Diceros bicornis minor: one gene and its partners. The protein of the gene in region 2 purifies or fractionates together with the protein of the main gene of each other region. This does not show direct contact. Links are inferred from orthologs where the notes say so. Each region holds a gene or a part of one and is shown on either strand. Other genes may lie near its edges. The genes, in order: AP1G2, AP1S2, AP1M1 and AP1B1.

The links.
Region 1: the proteins of AP1S2 (region 2) and AP1G2 purify together in Homo sapiens (affinity purification with mass spectrometry; 3 studies listed by BioGRID and IntAct, counting the BioPlex papers as one, with this or other methods). This does not show direct contact. The link is inferred for Diceros bicornis minor from reciprocal best matches to the Homo sapiens genes AP1S2 and AP1G2.
Region 3: the proteins of AP1S2 (region 2) and AP1M1 fractionate together in Homo sapiens (co-fractionation; 6 studies listed by BioGRID and IntAct, counting the BioPlex papers as one, with this or other methods). This does not show direct contact. The link is inferred for Diceros bicornis minor from reciprocal best matches to the Homo sapiens genes AP1S2 and AP1M1.
Region 4: the proteins of AP1S2 (region 2) and AP1B1 purify together in Homo sapiens (affinity purification with mass spectrometry; 5 studies listed by BioGRID and IntAct, counting the BioPlex papers as one, with this or other methods). This does not show direct contact. The link is inferred for Diceros bicornis minor from reciprocal best matches to the Homo sapiens genes AP1S2 and AP1B1.

What each region holds. Positions count from the first base shown.
Region 1 is NC_080744.1:24,298,078-24,305,324, forward strand, and holds the start of AP1G2 (AP-1 complex subunit gamma-like 2), read left to right. Parts: upstream 1-4,232; 5' UTR 4,233-4,337; intron 4,338-4,596; exon of another isoform or gene 4,597-4,618; intron 4,619-4,758; 5' UTR 4,759-4,759; coding exon 4,760-4,963; intron 4,964-5,374; coding exon 5,375-5,499; intron 5,500-5,640; coding exon 5,641-5,782; intron 5,783-5,902; coding exon 5,903-5,999; intron 6,000-6,169; coding exon 6,170-6,246; intron 6,247-6,364; coding exon 6,365-6,460; intron 6,461-6,872; coding exon 6,873-6,953; intron 6,954-7,247. Other genes in the region: JPH4 (junctophilin-4), read left to right, coding at 417-535, 881-1,413, 2,325-2,408.
Region 2 is NC_080781.1:13,028,588-13,036,375, reverse strand, and holds the start of AP1S2 (AP-1 complex subunit sigma-2), read left to right. Parts: upstream 1-4,784; 5' UTR 4,785-4,867; intron 4,868-7,111; coding exon 7,112-7,290; intron 7,291-7,788. UniProt on the Homo sapiens protein: Subunit of clathrin-associated adaptor protein complex 1 that plays a role in protein sorting in the late-Golgi/trans-Golgi network (TGN) and/or endosomes.
Region 3 is NC_080759.1:4,410,515-4,417,803, forward strand, and holds the start of AP1M1 (AP-1 complex subunit mu-1), read left to right. Parts: upstream 1-4,282; 5' UTR 4,283-4,359; coding exon 4,360-4,401; intron 4,402-7,289. Other genes in the region: protein FAM32A, read left to right, coding at 556-609, 913-981. UniProt on the Homo sapiens protein: Subunit of clathrin-associated adaptor protein complex 1 that plays a role in protein sorting in the trans-Golgi network (TGN) and endosomes.
Region 4 is NC_080774.1:23,055,635-23,063,386, forward strand, and holds the start of AP1B1 (AP-1 complex subunit beta-1), read right to left. Parts: upstream 3,010-7,752; 5' UTR 2,897-3,009; intron 1-2,896. UniProt on the Homo sapiens protein: Subunit of clathrin-associated adaptor protein complex 1 that plays a role in protein sorting in the late-Golgi/trans-Golgi network (TGN) and/or endosomes.

The DNA of each region.
Region 1 (7,247 bases), on a different chromosome or scaffold from region 2:
TGTAAGCACCAAGCAGGTGTGACTGCAGAGGGATGTGCTAAGAGAGTGAGGTCTCATTTGTCACCAGGAAAGGAACAGGACAGTGGCGGGCAGCTGGGGAGGGCCTGGCCCCTGCAGCTGGAAGAAGGGAAGTGTTACTACAGGATGCAGTGGTGGAAGGGTGTGAGAGGAGCAGGGAGGTGTAATGACAGTAGGCCCAGCCCAGCTCTAGGAGAAGAAACCAAAGGCCAGCTGCCCTGGCGGCCGGGAAGGAGAGCAGCTGGCAGAGTGTGAGCAAGGGTGAGGACTCCAGAGGTGAGCTCAGATCCAGAGGATGTGATGTGGTGGGGACCTGGGCCAGGGGGCTGGAGCATCTGAGCAGGGCTAATCTGAAGGGGGTGCTGGTCTGCTAAGTCCCTGTCCCTGGAACCCAACAGGGCAGCAGACGCCCTTCTAAAGGCAGTGGCAGCCAGCAGTGTCGCCGAGAAGGCTGTGGAGGCAGCTCGAATGGCCAAACTGATAGCCCAGGACCTGCAACCCATGTTAGAGGCCCCAGGTGAGGCGTGGGCAGCCTGGGGCGGGGGATGGGCCCCCTGGGGAGCTGGAGAGGCTCTGGCATGGAAAGGGGAAGGGAATCCCTGCAGGGCACTTGGGATGGAAAAGCCAAGGATTGAGGGTCCAAGGGGACGGAGGGTGGGGGCCAGGCCCGGTTGTTTGGAGAGTGGACCTGGGAATTTATGAAATAGGGCCAGAACGACTATGGGGTTGCGGTCTTGCAATGAGAGGCGGTAACCCTGGGGACACTGAAGTCCTGGGAGGCGCCCAGACAGGGGATAAAGCTGTAGCTTTGGCAGCCCAAGGCCAGTTAGGCCCCTCTGATTCTTAGCTATCCCTGCCCCAGGCCACAGACCCAGGCAGGACTCAGAAGGTTCCGACACAGAGCCCTTGGATGAGGACAGCCCTGGGGTGTACGAGAATGGACTGACCCCCTCAGAGGGCTCCCCTGAACTGCCTAGCAGTCCTGCCTCCTCCCGCCAACCCTGGCGACACCCTGCCTGCCGGAGCCCACTGCCTCCTGGGGGGGACCAGGGTCCCTTCTCCAGCCCCAAAGCTTGGCCTGAGGAGTGGGGGGGCCCAGGTGAGCAGGCAGAGGAACTAGCTGGCTATGAGGCTGAGGATGAGGCTGGGATGCAGGGGCCAGGGCCCAGAGACGGTTCCCCACTGCTCGGAGGCTGCAGCGACAGTTCTGGAAGTCTTCGAGAGGAGGAGGGGGAAGATGAAGAGCCCTTGCCCCAGCTGAGGACCCCAGGGGGCTTGGAGCCTGAGCCCGGGACCACACCAGTCCCGAGGGGCCCGTCCTCAAGGGGTCCTGAAGCCAGGTGCCTGATGGAAGAGCTTGAGGAGCATGCCGCAACCGAGAGGCCTGCCCAGCCGGTGAGACACTCTCCATCCCCATTTTGTGCCCTCAGAGTCTCAGCTCCTTTCTGGCCCCTCTTCCCAAAGCCTTGCCTCTCCTTCCATCCAGGCCTCTGTCTGATCCCCTGGGGCTTTGATCTGGGCTCAGCTTCCTCTCTGCCTGCCCAGTCCTGGCCCATATCCCACCTCAAAAGAGACCTTCATGTCCAACGCCCTCATTTGACAGATGGGGGAACTGAGGCCCAGAGCATTTGAAGTAACTTGCCCAAAGCTACAAACTAATAATTAACGGTGGAGCCAGAACATCTTTCCCTGTTCTCCTTCCATATCATTTCCAACTCCCAGTTTCCTACTCCACCCCCACCCCCACCTCCACCTCCACACTTTCTCTCTTTGGTGCCCAGAAATAAAAAAGGAAAAGCTTGTTCCCTCCCTACCCTGACTCTCCCTCCCTCTCCTGGGAAGAAGGGAAATAGGAAAGGCAGCAGAAACCCAGGAGGGGTGGAGATTCTCCAGAATCCTCTACTCTGATTGGACTTCAGGTCTTCTCCTGTTTCCTAGCAACCACATCCTCATCCCTCATCCCCCTCTGCTTTACTGCAGTACCGGCTGCTGCTGCCAACAACGTCTGCTACTAAGGCCAGGCACCTTCTGCCTGGGCCACGTGACATGCTGGTGGGAGAGGAGTGGAGAGTGGAGGGAGGAAGGGCTGTTCCTGACTTGAGGGAGCCAGAGGGAAGGTGGGGCCCTGCCTGGGAGAAGAGGGGTGTTTTGCAATCCAAAACAAAGGTTGGAGATCCCCCCACGCCTGGCACTGAGGAGAGGGGCTGTGACCATTCAGCTTTGCCACTTCAGCCAGGGCAGGAAGGTGGGACCTGTCGTTGGACCTGGTCCTCGGGGACTGAGGCTGCATTTCCCCCTCTCTCTAGGGAGCTGCCAACCCCCTGGTGGTGGGAGCCGTGGCCCTCCTGGACCTCAGCCTGGCGTTCCTGTTCTCCCAGCTCCTCACCTGAGGCTCCTGCCCAGCCTAGCCTGGCTTTGGTTGCTGCCTCTTCACTCCTTGGACCTGCCTTTTTCTCTCTTCCTCCTCCTGGTTGTTTCTTCTCCTATCTTTCTTTCTCTTCTCCCTTTCCTTCCTTTCTTTTCTGTCCCCCTTTGTTTTCATCTCTTGCTTTTTCTTCCCCTCTCTCCTTTCAGATTCTCTCATTTCCTGTGGATCTGTCTGTCGTCCTCACTCCCTTCCCCACCCCACCCCTTCTCCCTCTCTAGATTGTTTACATATGAAGGGCTTTTCTCCTCAGAGTTGCTCTCTTCTCTGAGACACACAAATCTAAGTCAGACCATTGCCCCACAACCTCCCCGCCTTTTCTTTAGACCTGAACTTCGATGAGGGTAGGGGTTTGGTGTCCTGAGGAGTCTCCTGGAAGCCAAGTGGAAAGGAGGAAGAAAATGGAGAAGGGGGTACTGTATACTGGGCAAGGCACTGGCCGAGCTGTGGTGGGAGCTGGACCCAAGGGGCCTGAGGTCCCTCTGAGGCCTAGTGAAAAGGCCAGAGGAGGTGCAGCCCCCATCTCTGACCTGGGAGGATCCTGTCTCACCTCCAAGGGTTGAGCTAGGTTCTTGCCTAACTTCATCCTTCCTTGAAGGAGATAAGGGAAATGAAAAGTAGGAGGACTCTCTAGCATCTCCCTCTTTCTCTCCTCAACAGCCAGCCCCTCCCTCGTCCAACCGGTTTGGGTGGCATGCCATGTCCAGAGCAATGTGTAAAGCAAAGCAAATGTCCAGTGCAGCCAAGTCCACCCATTGACCTCTCGCACCCTCCTCTCTCCCCCTAAACGTTTATTTGCTTGGTCTGGACTCACTTGTGGCCTTTGATTAAATTTCTAAGGGGCCTGAAGAAGACATTTCTACTGCAGAGGGTTTGAGGCACCTGAGCAAGGACCCCACTCCCCAACTCTGGCAGTCGTGGCGGTGGTGGAGGGGGCGGCAGTTCTGGGGAACGGAACCAGACTAGATAACAGGAACTCACAGGGCAGCAGAAGCTGTGACAAGTTTAGTAGTCTCTAAGTGGGTTATGTCCCTTCCCCCATCCCCATCAGAATCTTGTGAAATGGGAAAACAACAGGAGGAGGGGATCAAGGAAACCAATCTCACACACTTTCTAGGCAGGGAAGAGGTGGGCCTCAAAGCCGTTGAGAGGTGGGTGGAGAGCCCTGTTTGAGATTGTGGCTGATCCCTGGTACTAGCTTTTCCCCTGGGGGCAGGAAGCCCAAGGAAGAGGGACTGTAGGGTACCCAGGGGATCTTTCCTCCCTCCCCTGCATGAGGCAGAGGCAAGCTGCCTGCCAACCCCCTCCCTCAAGGAATGGCCTTGCCTGGGAATGCCCACCACACACATCCTCCTCTTTTTTTCTAGTCAAACTCTGTTCACTCCTTGGCCTGCATCTCTCCTTTCTCCCCTCTCAACCTTTACTTCTGATTTCTATTTCATGGAATTTGGGATTGAAGTTAAACTACAACAGTGCCGCCAACACTAAGTCTTGCAGGAAAAAAAAATACAAAGAAATTTAACAAAAAAAATATATTAATAAAAAACTTCAAAAAAGGGGGGGATTGTCATCTCCTTTGGGGTGCGATGGCTTCAAACCCAAGCTCTCTGAGGCTCTCCGGGTGCTGAGAATGTTCGAGGAGCCCTCTTGGGGAAACCCCAGGCCTGATAGACAGTCTCGCCGCCCCTATGCGGATCAGAGCTGCTTCCCCTAAACTCCAAAGCCAGAGGCCTGAGGTCAGAGGATTCAAGACGTCTCAGCAGGGAGGCCCAGGAAGGGCGGGGTCCCGTGGTGGGGGCGGGGAGAGGGAAGGACCAGACGAAGCACCAACCCCCGCCCGGCCCCGTACCAGGAAGTGCTGGGGGCAGAGGAGCAGAGTTGAGCCAGAAGCCAGGTGAGGCTGGCGTTAGGGATGGCATCCTGGTGTGGGGAAGCTGGGGCCGCCTGCGATGTGAACGGCGGAGGAGTCCCGCAAGAGAAATCGCGCAGGGCCGTGGAAGGAAAGAAATGGCTGAGCTAGGGATGGGAAACCAGGTGGAGGACGGAAGGGGGGTGGGAAATAGGCGGGGCTCCTGCGCGTGCTCAGTAGGGACGGGCTGGTTGGGGGGGGGCACGCATGCGTAATGGGGATCTCCTCGGGATGGGGGTGGAGTTCGGACACCCACGTGGAGAAAGGTAAATGTGGGCTCAGTTTTAGGGTAGCTGTGGGACCCGGGCCCTCAGGATCTTGGCCCAGGGGACCCTGGGCAGAAAGGCCATGCAGCCCTAGCAAGAGAAGGTTAAAGCCCTTTCCATTCCCGGGCTTTGACCCCCAGGATGTTGGTGCCTTCGCTGAAGCTTCAAGACCTAATCGAGGAGATTCGTGGGGCCAAGACCCAGGCCCAGGAGCGGGAGGTGATCCAAAAGGAGTGCGCCCACATCCGGGCCTCCTTCCGCGATGGGGACCCTCTGCACAGGCACCGCCAGCTGGCCAAACTGCTCTACGTCCACATGTTGGGCTACCCCGCCCACTTTGGACAGGTACTGGGCAGAGTTTGATGAGGGAGGCTAGTGGAGCAGTGTCTCAGACCCCCTCACGTATCTGTGCCCTGATTTTTTTATTTTACAAAGTTGCTGAACCCTCACAGTATACACTGCAGACCTCCTTCCCCATTACAGTCCCTGTGGGTCATCAGCTGGACTGAACCCTTCATTCTCTGGCCAGCCTCATTCAGGGTACCTCCTCCTCTCCTCTCCCATCATCCTCGACTCCTATTGCCTGGAAACTACCCACTGACTCTCGATCTCCTAAGCCCCTCCTCCTGTTGAAGGGAGGTTGATGGGATATTGTGCCCCCACAAGTTAATCTGGCATTAAGGAGGAGGATAGAAAGGGATGTTAGTGCCTCTGGTTTCAGTCCTGCCCCTTCCTGGTCTGCCCCCTTCCCTATAGATGGAGTGCCTGAAACTGATCGCCTCTCCCAGATTCACAGACAAGAGGGTGGGCTACCTGGGGGCCATGCTTCTACTGGATGAGAGGCAGGATGCCCACCTGCTCATTACCAACAGCATCAAGAAGTGAGAGGGTTCTGGGAAGCACTTGGAATCAGGGAGATGGGAGATGGGGGAACTGGGAAATCCCAAGGGGCTGCCTGCTGTAGGTACTGGGAAGGCCTGGATTTCCCAGAGCCTTGACTGACTGCCCTCCCAACTCTGCAGTGACCTGAGCCAGGGGACTCAGGCAGTACAAGGCCTGGCCCTGTGCACTCTGAGCACCATGGGCTCTGCTGAGATGTGCCGGGATCTGGCCACTGAGGTGGAGAAACTGCTCCTGCAGCCCAGCCCCTATGTGCGCAAGAAGGTGAGCTGGCAGGACTCTAGGCACCTGCCCCTCCAGAAACTGTCCCGTTTGCCATGTGATAGAGGTAGGGGGTCCATCTTGGCAGACCTCCACCCTCTCTGAGCCCCCTGACCTCTGCAGGCTGTTCTGACTGCAGTGCACATGATCCGGAAGGTCCCTGAGCTCTCCACCATCTTCCTCCCACCCTGTGCCCAACTGCTTCGCGAACGCCACCACGGTAAGGCCACCGGGCTCCCCATCCCCTGCCTCAGCTCTGGCTACCGACAGAAGTGAAAAATGGGATGGGAACACCAGCTCCTAGGAGAAGGCTAGGACGTGCACACACACGCACACAGTAGACGCTCCTGTTCCCCTGGCCCACCATTCGCTTCCCCCACCCTCACCCAGGCATCCTAATGGGCACCATCACACTGATCATGGAGCTCAGCGAACGAAGCCCTGCAGCCCTCAAGCACTTTCGAAAGGTGGGCTGGAGAAGGGGCAGGCCCTGGGCCAGGAAGAGAGGAGCAGTGGGGTTGGAGTGGGGCTGAAGGGTGAGAGGACTTGGAAGAATGCCCAGATGAGGCTGTGCCCTCCCCCCAGGTGGTGCCCCAGCTGGTGCAGATCCTCCGGACTCTGCTGACAACGGGATACTCCACAGAACACAGCATATCTGGAGTCAGCGACCCCTTCCTGCAGGTGGGCTGGCCCTTCCCTGCTGTATCCCTGGAACAGAGAGCTGAGCTGGAAACCCATGGCCGGTGGTCACCTCCCGGAGAACACTTTGGCTCAGTCAGTGCCTTAGGCAGAAGGGTGGCAGGCACAGGTCTGCCCAGGTCATCCCAGGACCATTGCGGGGAGGGGGACACCTGAAAGTTAGAAAATCCAGTTTGGTAACAATAAAAAAAAGCTTGTCCGCAAATCCCCTGGCCTCACACACCTCTGATCCCCTCCCAGGGCCCAAGGGACCTGGGGGGGAGGGAGGGGCAGGGAGCCTCTAGGGAACCAGCCAGGTCTCTCACAATGCTCTCCTTAATGGATTTTTCTCCTCAGCCCCATGACTCCTTACCCTATGAACCCCTCCACTTTTCAACCTTTAACCCAACTTTAGGTCCGGATACTTCGTCTGCTTCGGATTCTGGGCCGGAACCACGAGGAGAGCAGTGAGACCATGAATGACTTGCTAGCCCAGGTTGGGGGCTGGGGAGCGGGCACTGGTTAGGTGTGTTGCTCTATGATCCCACCAGCCCTGGGCATCCCTCACATGACCACCGACCACAGAGTGGCAGTACAGTCACGTCTCCATTTCCCTCTAGACTGTGACCTCAGTGAGGACAGGGACACAGTCTCTCTCAGTGCAATAGCCCCTGCACATAGTGGGGCTCAGGAACTTTGTTAGATGGTTGAGGGATGACATGGTGGAGACCTTCCAAAGACCTGAGGAGAGGACAGAGCCCCCTGTAGATGCATCTTCTCTCCCATCCAC
Region 2 (7,788 bases):
TTCTAAATAACTTCCACTAATATTCTGGGGTCACTCTGAAAAAAAAAATCCCATTTAGATAGTTTATTCTAGGTACTATTAAAGAATACTGACTACCTTATGTAGCGGTGAGTCTTTTCAGCAGTTAAGGATTTTATCTAATATTAAGAATGCCGGGCCGGCCCTGTGGCTTAGTGGTTAAGTGCGTCCGCTCCGCTACTGGCGGCCCAGGTTCGGATCCTGAGGGTGCACTGACGCACCGCTTCTCCGGCCATGCCGAGGCCGAGTCCCACATACAGCAACTAGAAGGATGTGCAACTATGACATACAACTATCTACTGGGGCTTTGGGAAAAAAAAAGGAGGAGGATTGGCAATAGATGTTAGCTCAGAGCCAGTCTTCCTCAGCAAAAGGAGGAGGATTAGCATGGATGTTAGCTCAGGGCTGATCTCCCTCACAAAAAAAAAAAAAAAAAAAAGAATGCCTCCACCTCCTTTAAGAGAGAGAGAAAAAAACTTATATGAAGATAGTACATATTCCATTTCTTGAAATGTCTATACAAGATCTCAGTTACTGCCTGTTAACCTTTCCAATGACTAACTCAGGGTTTCTCAACCTCGGTACTACTGACATTTTGGGCTGGATAATTCTTTGTGATGGGAGCTGTCCTATACATTGCAGTGGCATCACCACCCTCCCCCTACCCCCCCACCCCCCGCAAATGTCTCCAGACACTGCCAAGTGTCCCCTGGGGGAGGGATAAAAACGTTGAGAAACACTGCTCTAACCTAATATTAAAAGGAGAAGAGTCATTTTCCTGCATTTTATTCAAAGCTATGGAAATAGGCTTCAAGAAAGAGCATATGTTCCACATTTCTCTTTAGCTCATTGTTGAAGACTTTGGCAGTAACAGCTCTATCTATTTGAAATGATTTGGTTCACAAATCCTCATTATTTTAGGCCAGTTTTCTCCCTGGAACAACCTTATCTTTGGAGATGCAAACTCACAAACTCTAAGCATCTTTTTTTACACTAATTGTGATCTTCTATACTGATTCAGCACGGAATTCCATTACAAGGCATTTTCATTTAATAATTTCTAAATAATACATAGACTGGCTAAAGGAACACTGTGCAAGTCCATAATATAGTGTTAGCACTAACAGAAGAGTTTTTATCTACTTCATTACAATATTTTAAAAAATTATCTAAGTAAAACCTGCACTAAAATAAAATGTAATAATAACCTTTATCACATCTTACCTCAAGATTCTGTCCCTAGAAAGAAAGTCATCATTACTTCTGGAATTTACTTCCTGGTATCTAAAGAATATGCTAACAATTGTATTTCTTCATTTATGCTCAATGTTATCTATTTTTTTTACCGTTAGTGTGTGAGGATTTAGCATTATTTCAACATTCCCTCACTTCTGCTCCTCCATATTCTCAATGTAAACAGATTACAATTTTTACTTAACTCATCAGTGTTTACTGATGAGCCGGCAGTGTAGCCTGACATCCTTGTTGGCGTCCTCACACTAGTGTCCCCTCTCTTACTGCCCATGTGGATATATACTTTAAACATCCCTTTTTTTTTTCATTTAATGTCATTTTGAGAAGGAAAGGAGATAAAAGCATACAGCCATCACACATTTAACAGAAAACTAAAACTATTTTTGAAAACTTTTAAAAGATTACATAAAAAGTCTCAAAATTTTATTGTTAAAAGGCAGAATCCCTATTTCACCCTCACCTCTTGCATTTAGCATAAATGAAAGCTAGGCACTTTTTTTTTTTTAAACAAGTGATGTTAATTAGACTTATTGTGGTGATCACTTTGCAAAATATACAAATATCCGATCATTAAGAAGTACACCTAAAACTAATGTAATGTTATATGTCAATTATATCTCAATAAAATAAATAAATAAAAGGCAGATTACCAGAAATACTTCAGTTCTTCCCCTTCTGTACACTTGGGACACGGTTATCTTTCCTACTTAAGGATAAATCTGTTCTTCTCTCTTTTGACCTTGCCGAATTTTCCTTTATCTATCTGAGCCATTGAAACCTGGGAAACATCAGGCAGCCTTGCACCATGACACTACATGTTCTTGTTCCATGAGAAATGGTTTTGTATTAAATGTCTCCTGTACCAAAAAAAAAAAAAGGATAAAATCTGATTTTTAATTTTTCAGAAAAAATAATTTTTGTACCATCATTAATAACCAAGAAATCAGGACCGTCCAGATGACAAAAGCAGAGGATTAAAAAAGGTACCCTATTAACATTACAGATGAAGAAGATACTAGGTGAGAAGAAATATGTATATAACAAAGCCCACAATTTGGAAATTGTGGGAATCAAAGTCAAGCAGTTAATTACCAACAAAGACAGTAAAAGTGCCTCTTTTGTCTTTCATGGTGAATGCACAATTAGCAGTTACTACTAAGACTGGGGAATAAACCATCTATAATCTACTGAAAAAGACCATCTGCTACTATAAATTTTGTTCTTATACACTTGCCAAAAGAAGAGAGCATATTAACAAAATAATGGGCCCTGCACTGTTAATTGCTAGGTTGTTTGCAGTTGTGCTGTTGCTATTAGAATTTAATAAGCCATTCCTTCTGCTAAATTAATAAGCAGCCAAGATTATGTAATAGCTGCTTTCAGCTGCTAATTATTTCTCCCATAATTCCTTTCCCTCTCTACCCCCAACCCCCCCCCCCCACCTTTTCTTGGCTAAGAACACCAGAGACTGCCAATATGTCATCAGCAAGTCTCCCATCCTCATATTCAGAACCACAGACCAACATTAGGAGCGTAACCAATGAGTTGAAACTTGAAGGTAGTTATCTCAGGAAGCTTGAGGATATATGTGTTTTGTACAGAAAAAGAGAAAAGCAGCATATGGATTCAGAGGGCTAGTTTTCATTGCATAGTATTAGATCTTTCAACTGGCTAAAGGCATCTGTTTTGTGTACTAAAGGAGAAAAGGGACATTAACATGGGCCTTGGGGCATGATTGGTCAGGGAGCAGAGACATTTGAGCAGGGGACCCAAAGACCTACAGAAAGCCAGCTCTGTGCTTTGTGCCAACCACTTCTTTAATATTCCAGTATACATTAATCATACATGTTAGTAGGAAATTTTTCAAGCAGCATAGTAGTGCTTAAAAGAGAGGTATTATACAATTTTATTTTGCCAAATAAGGGCATTAAAAAATGCCCCCAAATCCTTATTATATACTATCTTAGTTTTATAGGTATTTTAACACAAAAAAAAGAACACAATTTCTAATAAAGAATTCCTTTAAAATGAATAAATTTAGCTTCATGAAAAATTTAGCATTTCTTTTTCATTTTGGGCCATTAAAAAATTCTGGCGACTATATTTGGGAACCTCTGCAAAAAGGGCATAGCTCCACAAGAACAATTTTCCAGCTTCCTTTGTAAGAACCTAGGCGACTGGGGTAATGAATAGCATTCGACACGAGAAACCCGTGGCTGTTCAAGCAAGGTCACTTAATCCCGTGGGGCTCCCCTTTCCTTATCTGTAAAAGATGAGTTGTACTAGATGATTCATCCATTCTTTCATTCAAAAAAATATGGGTATCCATTATGTATCAAGCACAATGCTCAGCACTATGGCTCTTAACAAATCTATCATTTTATAGTCCTTATCAGTCCACTCACATTTATTAGTTGTGTTATATACCAGGCAGTGAACTAGGATGGGATGCAAAAGGAATAAAATTCAAGATGTGCTAAATAGAGGCTAACGGGCAAGTGGGGATACAAAATGAAATAAAACTCAAGATGTGCTATAAACAGGCTAATGGGCATGTGGGTGAAAGGGATTCGTTTTTACAAGGTTTGAGGGTGAGGTTTCACAGGAGATGTGACATTTGAGAAGAAGCGCATGCCAGGCAAAGCAAGTCGTCGGCAAGGCTAAACTGGAACCCAGGCGGCTGGGGGGGGGGGGGGGCGGGGGGACGACTCGCCGTGAAGGGAGCGAGATAACGTGGACGAGGTGCTGTCTGGGCTTTTCAGCAGAGAACAGACACTAACTCATCAGGTCCGCAGCACTGAGGATGGGAGAGGCAAGCCCAAGGAAGAGACACCTGCACAGCCTGGGGTGAACGGTGTCCAGGGCTGTAGCAGTGCAATGCGAAGGAGGGGCCGGATTCCGAACAGTTTTGAAGTAGAATAATTGCAAACGGCTCGCTGAATGCGTGCACGAGCTCCACGAAAGAGCCGACTTGTTCTCCCCAGAGCGGCAGCACTCCCTCTCTACCCTCACCATCATCACCGGCTGTCACACCTCCCCGTCCCACCCTCTAAGGGCACGGAGAGTTAGCAGAGCTCCGACTTGGCTCTTTGTGGTCCAGACCTTCCCTGCCCTGCACAGCAGGGTCACCAGAGGCCACCGCGGAACCCTGTTCTTCCGCACTGAATAGCGGGGACAACCGCCCGTGCGAGTCTCGGGGGCACACCCAGGAATGCGCAGGCGGCCCCGGCCGAAGCCGCTTCCGGGTCACGTGGCCTGGCTTCCGGTTCGCACCACCCCCTCTGGCTAGAGAGGCGGCCAATCGGCTTCCTTGGACTGCGCGGTCACCTGCGCTGCCTCCGGTGCCGTTGGCGACGGCGCAGCTGCTTCCCGCCCAGCCCGCCCCTCCGCTCGCCGCAGCCCCGGCTCCTCCCTCGTCCGGCCCCCAGGGCGGGGTCTGTCGGCTCGCCCTCCCCTCGGCGCCTAAGCCTTCCCTCCGCCGACCGAGTCCCCTCCCCACAGCAACACGGCTTCCCTTCCTCAGCTCAGCGACAGGGGTTTCCCCTCAGCCGCCGCCGCCGGCCGAGCCCCGCCGCGCCCGCGGCCCGCGGCCGCCGTAAGTCCCGAGAGGGGCGAGCCGGGGCGCCGAGGACGGGGATGGGGGCGGGAGGGTGAGGCGCGCCCCCCGCCGCCCCGCGCGCCCCGACGACCCCACCCCGTGCCCGCCCCGCCGCTGGGCGCCGCGCCCCGCAACTCACTTCTCTCTGCGTCCGCTCCCCTCTTTCCACACCGCGCCGCGCCCTGGGATGCGGGGGCCAGTGCCGGCCGCCGCGGCGGCCCCGCGGCACCTGTGGTTCGGGAATCATCTCAAGTTTTGCGGGGCATTTTCGGGAGGGGCCCGCGGGCGGGGGCGGCGGCGGCCGAGGACCCTTGGCGCCCCCTGCGCGGCGGCGGATGCCATTGTCTGCCCCGCACCTTGCCTGTCACCTCGCCCGGGCTTGGTCAGTGATGGAGTGCGGCCCCGTGGGGCGGCGGGGAGGCGGCGGAGACGGCCGGACCGAGGAACGCTGGCCCCGAGCCCGCCCCGCGGCCGAGCCCATTGTTTTTAATAGCAATCTCGAGGAATTGAGGTGCCCTGCGATTTGCGGCACAATCGAAGCATTGGTTGTTAATAAGAGGGAATACTTGTGTCTTGCAACCGGGTATCGTCCCATGTTAGCGCATAATTTATTTTAAAGAGAGTAAATTATTTATTTGTCCTATAAAGTGGTAGAGGGGAAATACAGGACCCTGCTACCGACAGCGTTGAGCCTATACTCCTTTCGAAAGCAAACCCCCACCCCTCCTGGTCACCGAGATCCTGGAATACGGGTCTGTTATTTTCCAAGTTCTGGTAACGGGTTTGCATTAAACGTTGTCCGGTAGATGCTTTACTTGCGGTCCCCTTCGAATGCGGCTATCTTAACAGGACTCGTATGGGAGGGACTTTGATATCACGAATATTGTTCGTTTATTTTGTACCAGTGAAGCGTTTTAAGTGAGTTGTAATAAGCCAATTTTAACTTTAATAAAGTTAAATTGCCGCATCATAAATTTCTAAGTATTTTGTTGATGCCTGTCTGGACTAGTACAAAGAGCGACAATAATTTCTTACCGAAAGGCAGGGCCCGTTGTATTCTAAATGGGTTGTGTAAATTCCCCCACCCCATGTTTAAATTCAAGATGGTGTGGTGAATGTTAAGAATCAGGCTGGGATCTTCCTTGCAGTAACGCTGTTAAAGGAACTTAGGAGAGTTAAAAGAAAAAAATACTCGTCTGAATTCTACCTTTAAATTACCTTTGTAGAAACAGTGCTTATCTGTTTGCAGTTGAGAAGACCAGTTGAATTTACAAGAACTTGCCTTAAAAATTAAATGTGTAGACTAAATAACAGATTTGCAGATTCCAGATAAATATATACAAAATAGTTTGTGTAAAGTACACTAGAATTCAACATCCACTCCCATCTGTCAATGCTATTTTTTTGTTGTTTTAAGTGAAGTATGTCGTGTAATGTCTCTGAATATGTTTAACTCTTGTTTTGGCTTTTTAGAGGTTTATGTTCTCTTTCATAATATTACATTAACTCGTTTATTGTGTGCATATTTATGTTGGTATTTTTAAAAAGTGAGATGAGAAGAGATACTTAAAAGTCATGCTTTTATTAAGAAAAATGTGCTTTTATAGGATTTTTTTTTTGGGTAATCTCTTAGATCTTTTGTTTTGCTTAAAATATGTAAGCATAAACTGAAGAAAGCATTCTAAGTGATAGCAGTCTGTCTACAGTAATTCAGCCTGGAACTAGAACAGCCTCAGGGTGAAAAATAGTAGGTCTCCTGTTTCTTTTAAATGTACCTAAACCAGTTCTTGTCAACAATTCTCTTTTGATGCATATAGAGAGTGTGGAAAATAGTAGGTCTCCTGTTTCTTTTAAATGTACCTAAACCAGTTCTTGTCAACAATTCTCTTTTGATGCATATAGAGAGTGTGGAATGTATAGCACAGGCAGACAGTTTCTTAAATTGCAAGAGTTATCTTTCTTTTTCCTCAAAATTTCCATTCCAGCTTATTACCTGTTTTTCTTTCTTCCCCCCACACACTGCTTTCCAAACTTACGTGGAACAGGGTGGAATGGAGAGATTGCATCTGGTGGGAAGATGTTTCTACAAGAATTTCCTGCTATTTTAACTGGCATAGAAATATTGATGGCTACTAATCATTTGTCAGTTGACACCCTGTCCCCTGGAGCTATGTCATCTTAATCTTAACTTTTATTGAATCAAAGTACTGCATATGATCTTGGTTCTATTTATCTTAACAGATGCAGTTTATGTTGCTTTTTAGTCGTCAGGGAAAGCTTCGACTGCAGAAATGGTATGTCCCACTATCAGACAAAGAGAAGAAAAAGATCACAAGAGAACTTGTTCAAACCGTCTTAGCACGGAAACCTAAAATGTGCAGCTTTCTTGAGTGGCGAGATCTGAAGATTGTTTACAAAAGGTATAATTTTTATTTATCAGAAAGGTGAAATAGCAGAATGAAATGTTCAGTCATCTATAATGTGGAAATTGCAGACTTTCGAGAGATTACATTTATAAATAATGATTAATAAAGATTTAGATGAAAAAGATTTAAATTAAAGCTTTGTATTTTTAAAATAACTGCTGTTCTGATTGATTACCCAGGCTAAAATGATAATAGGGAAGTCGTTTTAAATCTAATTATATAATTGTAGGCGTAAATGATTATTCATGCTTAATCATCTTTTTAGAAAAATTCAATGAATTCATTTCTTTGCAGGGAAAAATAGGATCAGTATTTTAAATTGTGTGAGTAACTCGCTGAATTTAGACAAGCGTTTTCACCCCTTTCCATTCTCCCCGAAAATCTGTAATGACTGATAATTGACATGCCTTTTATCTGACTTAGAATCTTACTCACTTATAAACACCTTGGATACATAGACCGTTTCAGTCATATAGATGTTTAAAAACTTTG
Region 3 (7,289 bases), on a different chromosome or scaffold from region 2:
CATCCTGCGCTCTTACCTCTTACCAGGGACCATCGGGTGTTGGGAATGAGGAGTGGAGCAGGTCCTGGTGCTGCAAGAGGCGTATTCCAGAATCACACTCATCAAGGACCTCGTAGCCCTCCTGGCACTGTGTCCTGTCACTTGAGCACCTACTCTGCAGCGGGCCCTTTACCTTCCTCCTTCCTCAGCCTTTCTTAAACCCCCCATGCCTTTCTTTTTCTGCAAACTGGGAATGCGTATAATTGCCCAAGGAAGCAGGAAGCACATGTAGAGCTCCCATCAGTCTGCTTGTGGGTATGTGCTCAGTTGGTGCTGGTTCATTTCCTGCCCCTCAGACCGGAGCGCAGCTGACCCGGGCTCCTGGTGGGATATGTTGCGGCCAGGCCTCCCTGTCAGAGCAGTCTGAGTGGAGCTGAGGCAAGGGCAAGGTGCACACCCTGAGACCTCTGGCCTTTCTAGGTGTGAGAGCCAGGCTGACTGGGGCTCCCATCTTCCATCCCGTGTTGGCCTGGGCTGCGTCAGGCATGTGAACTCACCTGTTTCTCTTCTCTCCAGCAAATGGAAAGGATCCTGAAGAAAGCATCCAAAACCCACAAGCAGAGAGTGGAGGTAAGTCATGTGCCCAGTGGGGAGATGGAGCCATCTAGGGCCCCAGAGGCTAGGAGCCTGGCAGAAGAGCCACTGGAGTGTTGGCGGGGAGGAGAGTGTACCCAACAGAAGTGACGGCTACCCGGGGGTCACTGAAGGGAGAGCCCAGGGTTCAGGAGTTTCTAAGGCCTGGCAGAGTGGCCTTGAGAGGAGGGGTGCTCTGAGGAGAGACAGGACGTGGAGAAGTGCGGTGGGCAGCACCACACATCCCTGATGCCCTGCGTGGGGCTGTGCTGACGTGGGCTTTCTCCTTTGCTTTCCCAGGACTTCAACAGACACCTGGATACGCTGACGGAGCACTATGACATTCCCAAAGTCAGCTGGACCAAGTAGCCTCCTGGCCCGGGAGGTGGAGTGGCATCAAGGGGAAGCAGAAGGCGAAGTTGGGGTTATGTTTGGTGCCTTTGGTATTTTTTAGAAACATTCTTTTACACACACTTTGCGTCCTCTGTTGAGACAGTGCTTTTCAAAGCAGTGTGCCCTCATTCTAGACCTCAATGAAAGTAAGATTGCCCTTTTACCCTATTTTGGTTTCTCAGTAGAAGATAAACGTTTTCAGTTTGGACTGGAAATTTTTAAGAGTTTACCCAGAGATAAAGGTTATTTCTATGTAAGTGCTGTGGAAAAGCGTTTTTGCCCCTGAGTTGCATGTCACTCTCTCTGACAGCTGGCCAGCTCTCTTTGCCTGGATGAAACTGACTCCATAGGATAAGGAGTTAATGCCAGCAGGCCTGCAATGCAGCCCCTTGTGGGGCCCTGCATTGCCTGCCCTTCCAAGCTCCCTCTAGCTTGGGGCTTATGCTGTTCCATCCAGGGCCTGGGGAAGCCACTGGCAGCTTCGTGGCCTGCAGACTGCCTCCTCAGCCACCTGGCCAGTGAGACAATGCAGCCTGGGAAGCAGAACAACTGTCTAAGGATAGAACACATGCCTCGTCCCTTTCTGAGCTGAGCTGGTGGCCAGCATTCCTCTTCCCCAGTAACCCTATTTCAGACATGTCTAGTGAGTGTTGCCATGGATATTACTAATCAAGCACAGCATTCTTTGTATTGGAACCCAGACACAGCCTGCCTCACTACCCTCAACCCTGGGCTCCAAGCTGACCCCCCGTATTTATTCAGAGTTGGCACATAACATGGAACCTATTGGGCATTCCTGGCCTAAGGACACCTCAGGGGTGACAGGAGCAGGGCAGAGCCCCGCACAGACAGACGGGTAGGGGTGCAGTCAAACGGGAGGACCCAGGTTCTGGTGCTGGAGAGCGAGGATCTTGGAGGGCCTGCGTGCACCCACCGGCTGAGGATGGAACTGCTTATGCTACTGTGAGAACTGACGCACACAGTGCAAGAGGACCAGTCAGAATAGAAACATCGGGTGTTGGGTCTGGGGCTGTCACAAGTGAACTGCAGAATAAAGCAAAAACCAGTTATGAAATGTAAGTCTGAGTGTCTTACTTATAGGCTGTTAGATTATCACTAGACACGCTGCCTTTTAAGGGTTTATCCCATATGAAGAATGTGCATACTGCGAAACGACTCTTCACCCTCAATTTGGAAAAATTTGGATGATGTGTTTCTACTTGTGGTTCGTGGCCCACTTGAGAGAGGTGACATCCTCTCATTAGCAGTGGCTCCTTTGGGCAGATTCCCCCAGCGTGCCCCAGCATTGGGGTCAGGGCTTTTCTATCCCTGAGCCAGCGGTGCAGGTCTGTGAGCGTGATGTGGTGCTGGAAAAGCCTGTGTCAGTACAGTGGAAGATAGACATCCTAATTCTGCCTAACACACCACTCCAGAACAGAGTGGCTTACAACAGGAGTTCTCTCTCCCGATTCTGGGGGTTGACAGTGCTCATCTGGGTGGGTCTGCTCCCTGAGGTGTAGCTTAGTACACATGTGTAGCTGCATTGGCTTCCTTGGGGCCAGAAAGTCCAAGATGGCATCTCATCCCCCAAGACTGCTCTCCACATAGCCTGTTCCATTGGCCAACACAAGTCACGTTGTCAAACCCAGAGTCTCGGAACTACACAAGGGCATGAAGACCAGGAGGTGTGGTTTATTGGGGGCCATCACTGTTACAATCTACCACAGTGGTTCTCAATTTATGCTGTATGTTAGACTCTCCTGAGAGCATTAGGAACCACTGATGCTGCCTGGGGTGGGGTTCGGTCATTGCGAGTTTTCAGAGCTCTCCAGGTGACCTTAATATGCAGCAAAGTTTGAGAAACCCTGGTCTACCACAACAGGTATGGTCTTTTCTGAGATGTTGCAGAGGTCAAATCTGGCTTATACATTACACATAAATGCCAAGGATGAAATTCAGATGTGACTCGAATTCCCCCACTTATGGAGAAAAGGAAGTTACAAGTAATTTAAGTGTGAAGAGTGTTTACCGTGGTGGTACTCTTGGCACTTGGGAATCTTTGTTTCCTCAAAAGACTTGTACAATGTCTTCCCCCCAGCCTCCTTGACAGAGGCACAGAGCAAGGCTGAAAGGAGATGCTCTGTAATGAGAAGAGTCACCTTTCCTGGGTGGCTTTTCTTTTTGCCTTATAATTTTTGGCATTTACTCACTTTTTCTTCAGTGAGATGTACAGTTTTGTAATTTAAAAAAGACATGTTTTTCTAAAACATTGCAACAAACTGGGCAAAGTATGAGGCTAGGTACAATAGGGTTTCTTACCCAATAATTGTCAAAAGGCCTCCATTGGCTGCTTTGTGCAAGAATGCTTCCAGCCCAGGATTTACTTGGTAGTCTTCAGATATTAGTTTTCTTCTCTGGATTTTCCTGCACTTACATTTATCCTAAGTGGAGGATCTATTGCAAATGCCATCTTTCAGAGCCCCCAAACAGAGATGAGTGAAAGGCAGGCAGCCTGAGTAAATGGTTCTGATACTGCACGGTTGGGATCCCCAAAGCAGTGTGATGGTTCATTGGGACAGAATGCAGACATTTCTCCACAGCCTGAGTGTTCATAAAACCAAATGAGATATTCAATTGATTAATGAGAGGTCACGATTTGCATTACCCACCGTGGGCACTAACTACAGAAATGAAACACGTGCTTTTCGCCTAGGTTCAGTGGGGGGAGGTTTTTAGGAGATCATTCCAAGCAATAAACAGGCACGCCTGTTCACTGACGAATGTTGACACTGACAGGTGACAGATAGTGACTGTTGATAAGCCTTGACTGCCATTCAGAGAGTCTGACCTCTTTCCAAGTAACTACCTCCTTACTTCTCCCCATACAGCATTTCGCAATGGCGACTGTATATGATTGTTTCCTAGACTCCCCCACCAGACTATGAGTACCATAGGGCTGGGCCCTAGGTGGGTTCCACCACCGGGATCTCTCACCTAATTTGGCCCACAGCGGGGTTTCCAGCTGCCATGGCTTCGGGGCCCAGGCGGGAAGCTGGAGGATGCCCTGCTTCACTCGGCCCCGCCCGACCTCGTCCCTCTGGACCTTACTTCCGGGATGCTTGAGGCGGAAGCGGGAAATAAGAGCACGTAGAGCGCACTGCGCCTGCGCATACTCCGCCCTGCGCCCGCGCACTCCTGGCCCCTCCTCCCCGACCGGACCTAACGGTCCGCGCGCGGCTCCCCGGACCGGAAGTGGAGGCGAACAGTGGCGGCTCGCGCCCGGCCTTGCTCAACGCCTGGCGGTTGCCGCCGTCGCCGCCGCCCTCGGCCGCTGCCGAGGCTTCCCGCACCGCCATGTCCGCCAGCGCCGTTTACGTGCTGGACCTGAAGGGCAAGGTACGGAGGGCTCCCCACCCTCCCCGTTGCCAGGCAACCGGCGGGGGCCGCGCCCCGTGGGGACCCACCCTGTTGCTTAGGGACGGCCAATGGGACCCAGCCTGGTCTTGGGCAAGGAAGCCAGTCGGCCTCGCCTGAGGGCCGCACCCTGTTGCTAGGTAACCAGGCAGGGTCGTCTGTCCGCACCCTGTTGCTGGGTAACGCGGTGGGCTGCCGCTGTTGCTAGGTAACCGGCTGCACGACACCCCTGACCCCCGTGGGCTGGGGGCTCCAGTCTCGGTGGGGGCCCCCGGAAGACCGAGGCCGCGGCGAGGGCGGGCTGCAGCCGGCGTCGAAGCTGCGCGACCCTTGGCCCGACGTCGCGAGGCGTGACGAGGACAGTGTGCCCTCGGGCCAGTCCCGCCCTCTCAGGGACGTAGCTTCTGCTTCTCTGGCGAGTTCTCTGTGCCGGTCCCTGTAGGTATGTCTTAGCGTTCCTTCGTTGTGACATTGAGTGACAAGGATTAGGTGCGGTAGGTGGTGGCAGCGACACTTTACAGAGGGAGAAAGTGAGGCACAGAGAGGTGACGCAGCGTGCCCAAGGTCACACCGGTCACAGAGAAGTGACAGGTCTAGGCGTCGAACCCAGAATCATTTGTTCATTCAGCTGGTGTCTGAGGAGGACCTACTAAATGCCAGGCAGGTCTCTAAGTCTGAGAGGAGGGATCTTGACGCCTCTCAGAAGTGGGCTGCCGCCCTTCCCCAAGTCCATCCTGGCTGGAAGCAAGTGAGGATCTGGCCTCTTGCACCTGGGAGCAACAAGTACAGGTTCAACAATGTTCAACGCGTCCCACATCAATCTGGGAGGAGACGTGGGTGTCAGGCCCAGGTGGGGCAGGGAGGAGTTAGCTCAGAAGCAGTGGGGTGTGAGGAGAAGTGGCTGCCCCTTCCTGCCCCACTCCCCACCCCCAGCACTTCCCTGGAGTCCCCTGAGTGGGTTGCCTGCCTTGGATGGCACCCAAAGTCAACATCCAGTGAGGCCCAGTGCTGGGCTTCCTTCCCCCCACCTTCTTAGAGGCAAGGAAAGACACAGGGCAGGCCAGGGGCGGGGTGGGTGCAGTGTTCCCTGAGTCCTTGTAGCACGTGTTCTTGCTTCCACCCCAGCCACCGTGTCCTTAGAGGTCCCAAAGGCTGCCTGTCTCCAATCACTCGTTCCTTCAGCAAAGATTTCACGAGCTCCTACGTGCACTGAGCCGCATGCTGACCATCTCGCGGTGACTGTGGAGTCAGGGCTGAGCTCAAAACCCAGCTTTGCTGCTCAGCTGTGTGACCTCAGGCAAGTGCCTGCTCCTCTCTGAGCCTCACTTTCCTCATTAGTCAGAGGAGGCTTCCGTGGCATTATTGTGTGAACTCGCTGAGCCGCGCATGAGAGAGGCTCAGCAGCACCCAGGGCCCACAGTCCGCGTTAGACCCTGTGGGCCTCACGTTCTGGCAGGGGAGACGTGTGGAAGCAGCCGCATGGATCCAGACGGTCAGATCCGGTTAGCCACAGGGCATGGACAAGGCCCCAGGGAATGCAGTTGCCTAACCTCAGTTTTGGCTGGCAGAAGGAGAAGTGGTTACGGAAGGCTTCCTGGAGGAGGGAGATGGGGGAGCTGGAAAGGTGACCAAGTGGCAGACAGGTGGACAAGGAAGCATCTCAGTGGGCCCGAGGGGTGAGGGGCAGCCCACTGGGGCTGGCAAGCAGGAAGTCCTACGTAAGGCTGGAGCCTGGTGGATGGCACCAGGAGGGCCATGGGTGTTAAAGGTGTCCGGACAGGAGAAAGGGCCAGAGGGGACCACTTTGATCCCAGGAAGGAGGAGCCACCGCAGGGGGATTGTAGCCCGGGAGAAGCAGGATCAACCTGCCTTTCGGGAGGCTCCCGAGGCAGCCGGGGGCTCCCTTCCCGGCCTCAGCAACCGTCATGCCATTTATTATTCCACTCCCCACGGACCTCATGTTTTGGAAGTTTGCCTCATGCGCAGACTGCGTTTAATCAGAAGTAAGGTAATGGCACATCAGGAAATTCACTACCACACAGCTCTCTGCCAGCCAGAGCCTCTGATTACCAAGGAAACCAGCGTGGCCACGTTCAGCTGACAGAAAGCCCTCCGTGGACACTCCTCCGCCCTGTCTTTCTTGTTTCTCTGCAGCTGCTGAGGCCACTAGCACACTTCTCAGCAGGCTTCCTTCGGCCCCCTGTTTCCCTCACTGTCTGCTGGCCCCTCCGCTGCTGCCCTCCCTTTGGATGCTGGCCCCTCAGGCATACTGTCCCTCTCCCGGGGCAGGCTTTGATTCACGTCAGTGTGCCGGTGACTCTCAAATTTATACCGCAGTCCAGGGGACTTATCTGGAGATCTGCTGGCCTCGGAGACACCTTGGAAGTCCCACAGCCACTGCAGACTCTCCCTCCATCTGCTCTCTCTCCATCTCGGCGAGTGACACTGCCATCCATGCAGCTGCCCACGTTGGAGCCCTGGGCGTTATTCCTGCCTCCTTTGTCTCCTCACCTGCATGCTCACTCCCCAGACGTTGACTGAGCACCTGCTGTGGGCTGGGCTCTGTTGTCAGTGCTGGCACACAGCTGCGAACCAGACGGAAGTGGTCACTGTTCTCTGGGAGTAGTAGACTCTGGTAGAAGTGACAGACAGTAAATGAGGACACAGATAAACATATGATGCAGTGGTGATGTGGGCAGTGAAGGTAAAGTGGAGTTGGGGGTCGAGAGGGATGGGATATGATCTCTCAGCCAGGGCAAGCAGGGAGGAGGTGCTGTCTGAGCTGAGGCTTGAGAAATGAGAAGAGCCAGCCCAGGGCATTCTGAGCAGAGGGAACTGCAAGTGCAAAGGCCCTGAGGCAGGAACAGGTG
Region 4 (7,752 bases), on a different chromosome or scaffold from region 2:
ATAACCCATTATGATCAGTGCCACAGGACATCAAGGAGGGGCATCTAGCTCAGGCCTGCAAGGTGGAGGGGATGATCGGATGGGAGGCACCAAGTAGTGGTCCAGCAAAGAAGTGTGGGGTGGGGTGTGTATGTGACATGAAATGGTGTTCAGGCAGTGAGAACAGCACAAAGCAAAGACACAGAGGCATAACGAGTTAGCACTTTGTAGAAAAGCAGCTGAGTTTGCTTGGAGCTTGGGAGGAGGTAGAAGTGTGGAGCAGGAGAGATAAGGCAGAAGAGCCAGGCAGGGGTCAGAGCCCAAAAGGCCTTGAATGCCATGCTAAGGAATGTGAGTTTTAGCTTGAGGGCAACGAGGAGCCACTGATGGATATTCAAGCAGAAGTTTTTTTTTAAGGATTCTCCAACTGCTCAAGTGGTATTTTCTCTCTGGAGTTATCTGTTTCTCTCCGTGTGAAGAGAAAAAGAACACAAAAACCATTTCTGGGCTGTAATAATTTATAAGTAACCTATCTTAGACAAAAAGACTTGTGCAGAAAAAGAAACATCTTCAAGTTATAGATGTTCCCTCAGCTTTCAGGAATACACCAAAGTGCAAAACCCATACCCAAGCCATGTTTGCTCAGTGTCAGCACATCAGGCTTTGGTGCCAGGCATGCGGGTTTTCTGGGAAGTGAGCAGTCAAGATACGCAACAGTTTCAGAGGACGACTAGAAAAAGATGAAAGTCCAAGCCGAAAGCCAGCAGGACCAATGGACTGAACTTGTTCTGACAAACTTTTAGGAAGTGAAACGAGAAGGGTGGGAGAAGTCCTGTGTACACAAAGGTCTCTGTCTGCGGAAGGAAGTAACACCCCACAAACCAGGGTAGACAGCCTTCCTCAGACATAGACCCTCAGCAGGCATCAACTGCCTACGATCAAGGCTCCCACCGCAACATTAACAGGCTCTGCACAAACTTCCTCATCTAACCCCCACACGCACCAGTGTTGGGAGGAGAGGGGGAAGGTGGTGATCATTATTTTAGAGCTGAAGTAGAGGCCCAGTCTAAGCAAGTTGTCCGGGTCCCACTATCACGAAGCTGCTGAGCTGGGATCAGAACCCAGGGCTGAGCGAGGGGGAGAAAGGGAATCTTTTCCGTGTACCTCTGAGCTCTTCAGGTTGCTCAGGGAGAAGCCTCTGCTCAACCCACACTCAACAGATAATCTCTACACAACTTCTGAGGGATCTGATTCTTTGAAACTAGTGAAGCTGCTCTTCACGTCAGTTTTTAAGAGGTCGAGGAGCCTGGTGGGCTCAACTCAGGACAGGGAGCCAGATGCTCTGAGCTCTGCTCACGTTCCTACCATTTGTGACAAGTCGCTTCATCTCAAATCCTCCCTTGGAAGGATGGGGATAAGGTGACAATATTAAGGTTCTGTGAATTCAATGGAACTAGGAGAACAGATCATAGAGTTAAAAAAAAAAAAGGCACTACAGTAATATTTACATCACAGCTTTCTTCAGAAGCACGTGGAAACCTTCGCGAGTTCATTAAGGCTTACAACACCCAAGAGTGGGTAGGAAGGCAGCAGGTCTCCCTTGTGCTGCTCTCAGGGAAACTGAGGCAGAACTGGAGCTAGTGAATGTCTGCAAAGGAATAAGGCTCAGACTCACAGAACCTAGCCCTCCGGCCATCAAACCACCTCACCACCTCCCAGGCAAGATGTGCTTTCCCTAGCCAAGAAGCCATGGGGCCTGCACTTTTCTCAGAGAGACACAGACCCTTCCCTTGAGAACGTCCTTCAAGAACCTAGGGCTACAAGAGCCCCTAGAGGTCATGTGGTTCTTCTCTTCAATCCAAAAGGAATGCAGCTCAACTACTCTCAAGAGAGGTTCTAGATACTCTCAAATTAGCTTCATGGATAGCCTGCTTTGTGTCTCACAGTTCCCAATAGTCAGGAAAAACTTCCACGCTTGCCCTGAAATGTAATCACTTACACCAACAGCCTGCAGGATTGTTTCATCCTAAAGAAAGTGAGTCAAATGCCCCTTATGAAGACTAGACGAGAAGCAATAAGCCTACATCTTTACACAGATGCAAATACACATAATGGCTAAAGATATTAAATAGCCCCTTCATCCCAACCTTGCTCCAGCCTCTCTGCTGTCTCTGCACTTTGCTGGTCTCTGCAAGCAAGGGTAGAAACCCTGGTTCTTGTCTATACTACCTGATTGACCTTATACGTGTGATTTAACCTCCCTGTGCCTCAGTTTCCCCGTGGATAAAATGGGGATAACAACCGTAGCTACCTCACAAGGGCTGCTGTGAAGTTTAAACGTGGCACTGTACTAAAGCGCTTAGCACAGCGCCTGGTACACAGTAGGAGCTCAACACGCAGCAGCTGGCATTTTCGTCGGTGTTTTTAGCATTATTACAGGTGTCCCCAGCTAACTCGTCCGTGGGGCGCCAACGGACAGACCAAGCCCCAGCGTGCCGCGGAGCAGGCGGCGCAGGGCTGTTTCTTGCAGTTTTTTTTCCTTTTCGAACCGTGGCAGAGAGATAAGGCCGGAACGAAGAGGCCCCAGGGGATAAGTGTGAAGGGGAAAACCGGGACCGAAGAGGAGCTTCCCCTGCGGCCAGGGGCGGGCTCCGCGGGGCCTAAGTCTAGCCGTCTCTCCGGGAGGGCGCCCAGGTGGGGCTGCGGACCTGGGGCAGCTGGGCTGCGGGCAGCGGCCAAGCGGGTGCGAATGAATGAACCCGCAGTCCTTCAGCTTCGTCGGGGCCCGGGAAGCCTCTCTGGCCCCTCCAGCCCCACGTCCTCTCCGTGACCTCTGACCCCGCAACGCCCTCACCTCAGACCCCCGCCTCCCCGCCCCACTTCTCCTCCAGCCTCGTCGAACTCCCCGCCTCCTCACCCGCAGGTCCGCACGGCTCCCGGCGCCACGGCGCGGCGCGGCGCGGCTCGGCAGGAAAATGTCCGCGGCCTCCTCCCCCTGCTCTCCCGGTGCGCCCGTGCCGCCGGCCGCTCCAGCCCCGCGGCTGTCACCTGCCGGGCGGAAGTGAGCTGCCCGCGCGCGGGCACTTCCGGTGGACGCACGGCCTGGGGGCGGGGTCAAGGGTGCGACCCGGGCGGGGGTGGTGGTGCCCGCGGGGCGGGGCCGACCGGATTAACCCCTCCCCGGCCGCGGCGCTGCTCCGCCGCTGTCTCCCGCAGCGTGGTTAGGAAAATTAGCCTGCTCACCGCTAAGTAATTTCGCGTGATGGAGATGGAAAAGGTCGTGGAGACTCTGAGGTCCATCTCCCTTCTGTTATAGACGGGAAAACTGAGGCTCTGAGAGGGGCAGGATTTTGCTCAAGATCACTTACCGTATGAATGGAAGAGTCAAAACTCGAGGTGTAAATCTAGTCTAGCGCTCCCTGCCCTTCAGTGCAGCCCTTTGGGTATTCCACGTTAGAGGGGAAAACATCGCACTCTCCAAGAACTTCACAATATCCCATTTCTCCTTTTGCTGGGTCTGCCACGACTTCAAGTGCAATAGCCATCTCACTCCCGGCTCTGGTACTATTAACTTTCTTCTCCTTCTAGATAATTTTTGATCATCCCCTGTAAAACATTATTTCATTGCTACTCTTTAAAAATGTTTTACTAGGAAAATAATATTTGCATTGTAGAGGAATGGCAATATACTAGCAAGCAAAAAGAAGATAAAAAATCATCTGCAATCCCACCGCCCCGAGACAATCATTTTTAATATTTTGGTGAATATCCTTCAGGACTTGACATATCATTCAGTATTTTTAACTCACCAAGATGTTGGTAAAACTTTCCCAAAACAATAAATACATTTCTGTTTGGTGCTTTCCAATACCTGCATGGTATTCCACTGTATGGATGGTATCACTGTTCTCAAAAACAATCCCTACAGTTGTACACTTAAGTTGCTACCAATCTTATAATATTATAAAACTTATTAATAAATAAGCTTGCAAAGCCAAGTCTGTATGTCCTGTCTAATCTAGATATTATTGTTTTAATATTCAATGTAGTTTTTATATGTTTAACCAGACTCAAATCCTTTTTATAAAAGGTTTTATTTTTAAATCATTATAGACTTACAGGAAATTGCAAAAATAGTACATAGGGTGCCTTCACCCAGTTTCCTTCAGTAGTGACATTTTATATATTAGTAGTATAACATCAAAACCAGGAAATCGGCATTGGTATAATACCATTAACTAAATTTACAGACCTTATTCCATTTTTAAATCCTTTTCTGAAGTAGGCAGGAAACAAATAGAATGATTTTGTATGCATGTGTCATGTTCCACATGCTATGCACAGCTGTCTGGAGAAACCACCTTTCCCTAATGATCAATGTTGGCAAATGCCATCAGCCTCAGTGAAAAACAAGATTTCACTAGGAATGTAACATGGAAAGAGAAGGATTATCTAACAAAACAAACCAGCAAACCTAAAGGTACCAAGCTGGAGAGCTTATGTGAAAGTGGCAAGTTGGTGGTAAAAGCAGTCAGAGCTTTAAGAGTTCCAAGGAGACAGAAGTCACAGCGTCAATTTGCTCAAGAAGGATGTTCTGGGGAAGGTGGCATTTATGCTAGGCCTTGCCCAGTGAGGACAGAGTTGCAGAGGCTGAGATGGAAAGAAAGGGCAAACCAGAGAGATCAGTGCAGAGACAGGAAGGCAAGGGAGCCAGACGTCTGGGTCCTTCAGAAAGCATTTCCCAAGCCCCTGCTCTGAACCAGACCCTGGGCTGGGTGTTGGATAGTCACACAGGTGAGGCAAAGGCCCTGTCCTTGCTGAACCATCAGTTTGTCCGGGGAGGGTGACAGAGCAGCAGGCACAAATGTGGTTGGTGCTGTGATAGGGGAGGTATTGGGGACTATGGGAGTCCAGAGGAGGCACTGAAGCTCCCCCTGGGGTTGGAGGGAGAAGGGGAGGTGTGGACAAGTAGGGGGCATTTAATATGAAATTGCAGAACAGCAATGGATGTTTATGGAGCACCTGTAGTGTGCTAGGTGGTGCACAGGGGGTCTCATTTGCTCCTCACATCAGCCCCATTTTATTTGGGGAGTGGAGGGGAGCTGCAACTCCAAGAGCTGAAGTCAAACAATGTCCGAGTGGCAAAGCTGATGGTCTGGTCCCAGAGCCACAGCATACGTGCTCTCATAAGTCCCACTCATTCACCTAAAATATGTCTGTCCCTCTTACCTGAGCCAGCCATATTGGAGATACAACAGTGAACAAGATGTGGCACAACCTCTCCTTGGGAGAGGAACAATTAAAGGGGCAATTATAACACAGCCCAGAAGGACCAGGGGTGTGCAGGAGACTTGGGCACCAAACTCATCCTGGGAAAGTCAGGGATGGCTTCCTGGAGGAGGTGACATCCAGCAGGAACTGTGAAGGATGATATTACTACTACTAATAGTTACCATGAAGAGTCACTGTGCTAGGCTCTTCCCCATATTAACTCACTGAACTCTCTCAACAATTTGGGGTTCCATGACTGTCCCCAAGTAAAGATAAGAAAACTTAGGCCAGTGGGCAGAGCTGATTTTCCTCACTTCCCTGTAGGCCTTGGCCTCCTCTCTCACAGCTCAGCCTGGCAGAAGAGCTAAAAATATAATACTAATAAGAAGAGGCACAACTCAATGCCAAAGGCTGAATAATTACAGCTTGCAGAGGTGGGAGATGGAAGCAGGGAAGCGGGGCTTTCAGGGGGCTTCCCTCTCTAACCCCATCTCCAACCCAGCTGGCCACACTGCCTGAGTCACACTCACTGTCCAACACTGTCTAGAAAAGTCCCACCTGGGGCATGTGTGGCCTGCCTCAGACCTCTGAGCCCCTGGCCCAGGAGGAGCTCTTTGCTCCAGGATGGAGCAGAGCCAGTGATGGCCAAGCCCACTTGGAGAGAGAACAGACTTGTCCCAACAGATATACCATTACTAACAGTAACGTCACCTCCTGATTGGAGGAGGAAGTTTTTAAACTCTTCTCCAAGTCCTATTCATTTTCTACCCTGCCCTATTGAGCTGGCTGATGATGGACAGGCCTGTCCACCTCTTTGGGCCTCAGTTTCTCCTTCCTGAGAACTCTGCACCCAACATGTGCCAAGCACCATTGTATGCCCTTGACACCCATCACTTCATTTAACCCTCACTATTCCCAAGAGGTGGGCACTATGGAACTCCCACTTTACAGATGAGCACACTGAGGCCCTGAGAAGCTGAGGAACTTTTCCAACTTCAGGAGGCAACAATGGACCAAGCTGAGAGGCAAGGCCAGAGCTGAAGACTGCAGGGCCCATGCTTTCCCCCTCATCCCACCCTTACCTGCCTCATGACGTTTAATACAATCAGAGGGAGGTTGGGAGTTCTTGTGGTGTCAAGAAATGACCGGGGACCTGCTGACACACAGAATCTCAGAGCGTGTCTTTCCCACCCTCCATCCACACGGGTGCCTAATAAATACACGTTGAACAAATTGTATTTTTTTTCCATCTATGCCCACTAGAGGGCGCACTGGTGATATTAACTGCCCCTGACCTTTCGGTGTAAATGTTGCACAGGCAGCCGATAGCATGCCTTTCTCCGTCCCAACCTTCTTTCTAGATTCTTCTTCTTATCGCTATTACTCTACTTCAATTTATGTTTGCTTGCTGTTTTTGTTGTTTTTACCTTACAAACTTCTAAAAGTTGCCTCAGATCCTTTCCGGAAGGAGGCAGGAGTGATTTTGTCTGTAGCCTCACTGACACCACCAGCCCCACACCTGCTGAGGGTGGGCAGCTCCATATCCTTCCCGTTCGGGTGGAACCTGGCACAGACTCCAGGGCAGAGGGGCCTAGAGGCTGCCAGGGACCTCTCCTCTGCCTCCATTCTTTCCTGCTGCAAATGCTCTCATTACACCATCCCTGGTCTTCCAAGGAGCAAAATTCTGCTCACTCCCCTGTGGCCCCAGTGCTGCCATAGGCTGCCTCTTGAAGGGCTCTGCTCTCCCTTCTCAGGTTCCCCTGAGAGGGCTGAACCGCCCTCCACTGGTGCAATCAAAAAGGCCCAAGCTCTGAACCACACCCGGGTTCAAATCTTCAGCTGGACCCCACTTTCCAGCTGATTGGGCCTCCATGCAAAGTTGCTAAAGAGATTAAATTGTAGAATTTATGTACAGTGCCTGGCAACCTATAAACCCTCCTTCAATGGGAGCTTTAAAAATTATTTAAAGGCATAAATTGAGGCACAAAGAAAATGTCAATAAACTCCAATAGAGTAGAATTGGAGTTCATACATCAGTCTTTGATCACAATCTAAAAAGCTAGAAATCGGGGCCGATCCTGTGGCTTAGCGGTTAAGTGCGTGCTCTCTGATGCTGGCGGCCCGGGTTCGGATCCGGGGCGCACACCGACACACCGCTTCTCTGGCCACGCTGAGGCCGCGTCCCACATACGGCAACTAGAAGGCGGTGCAACTATGACATACAACTATCTACTGGGGCTTTGGGGGGAAAATAAATAAATAAACCTTAAAAAGCTAGAAATCAATAATAAAATCAGAAAATGGACCCTACACCTGGCAAATAAAACACTCTTTAAATTTAGTTATTTTAGTTATTTAACTATTAGTTAAATAGTTTAACTTTAGTTATTTAGTTTACCTTTTTAGTTTATCTAAATATTTAGTTCAACTATTTAGTTAGCAGTTTAACTTTAGGTATTTAACTCCTGAAACTTCTGGGTAAGGGAGTGAATTCAACATGTG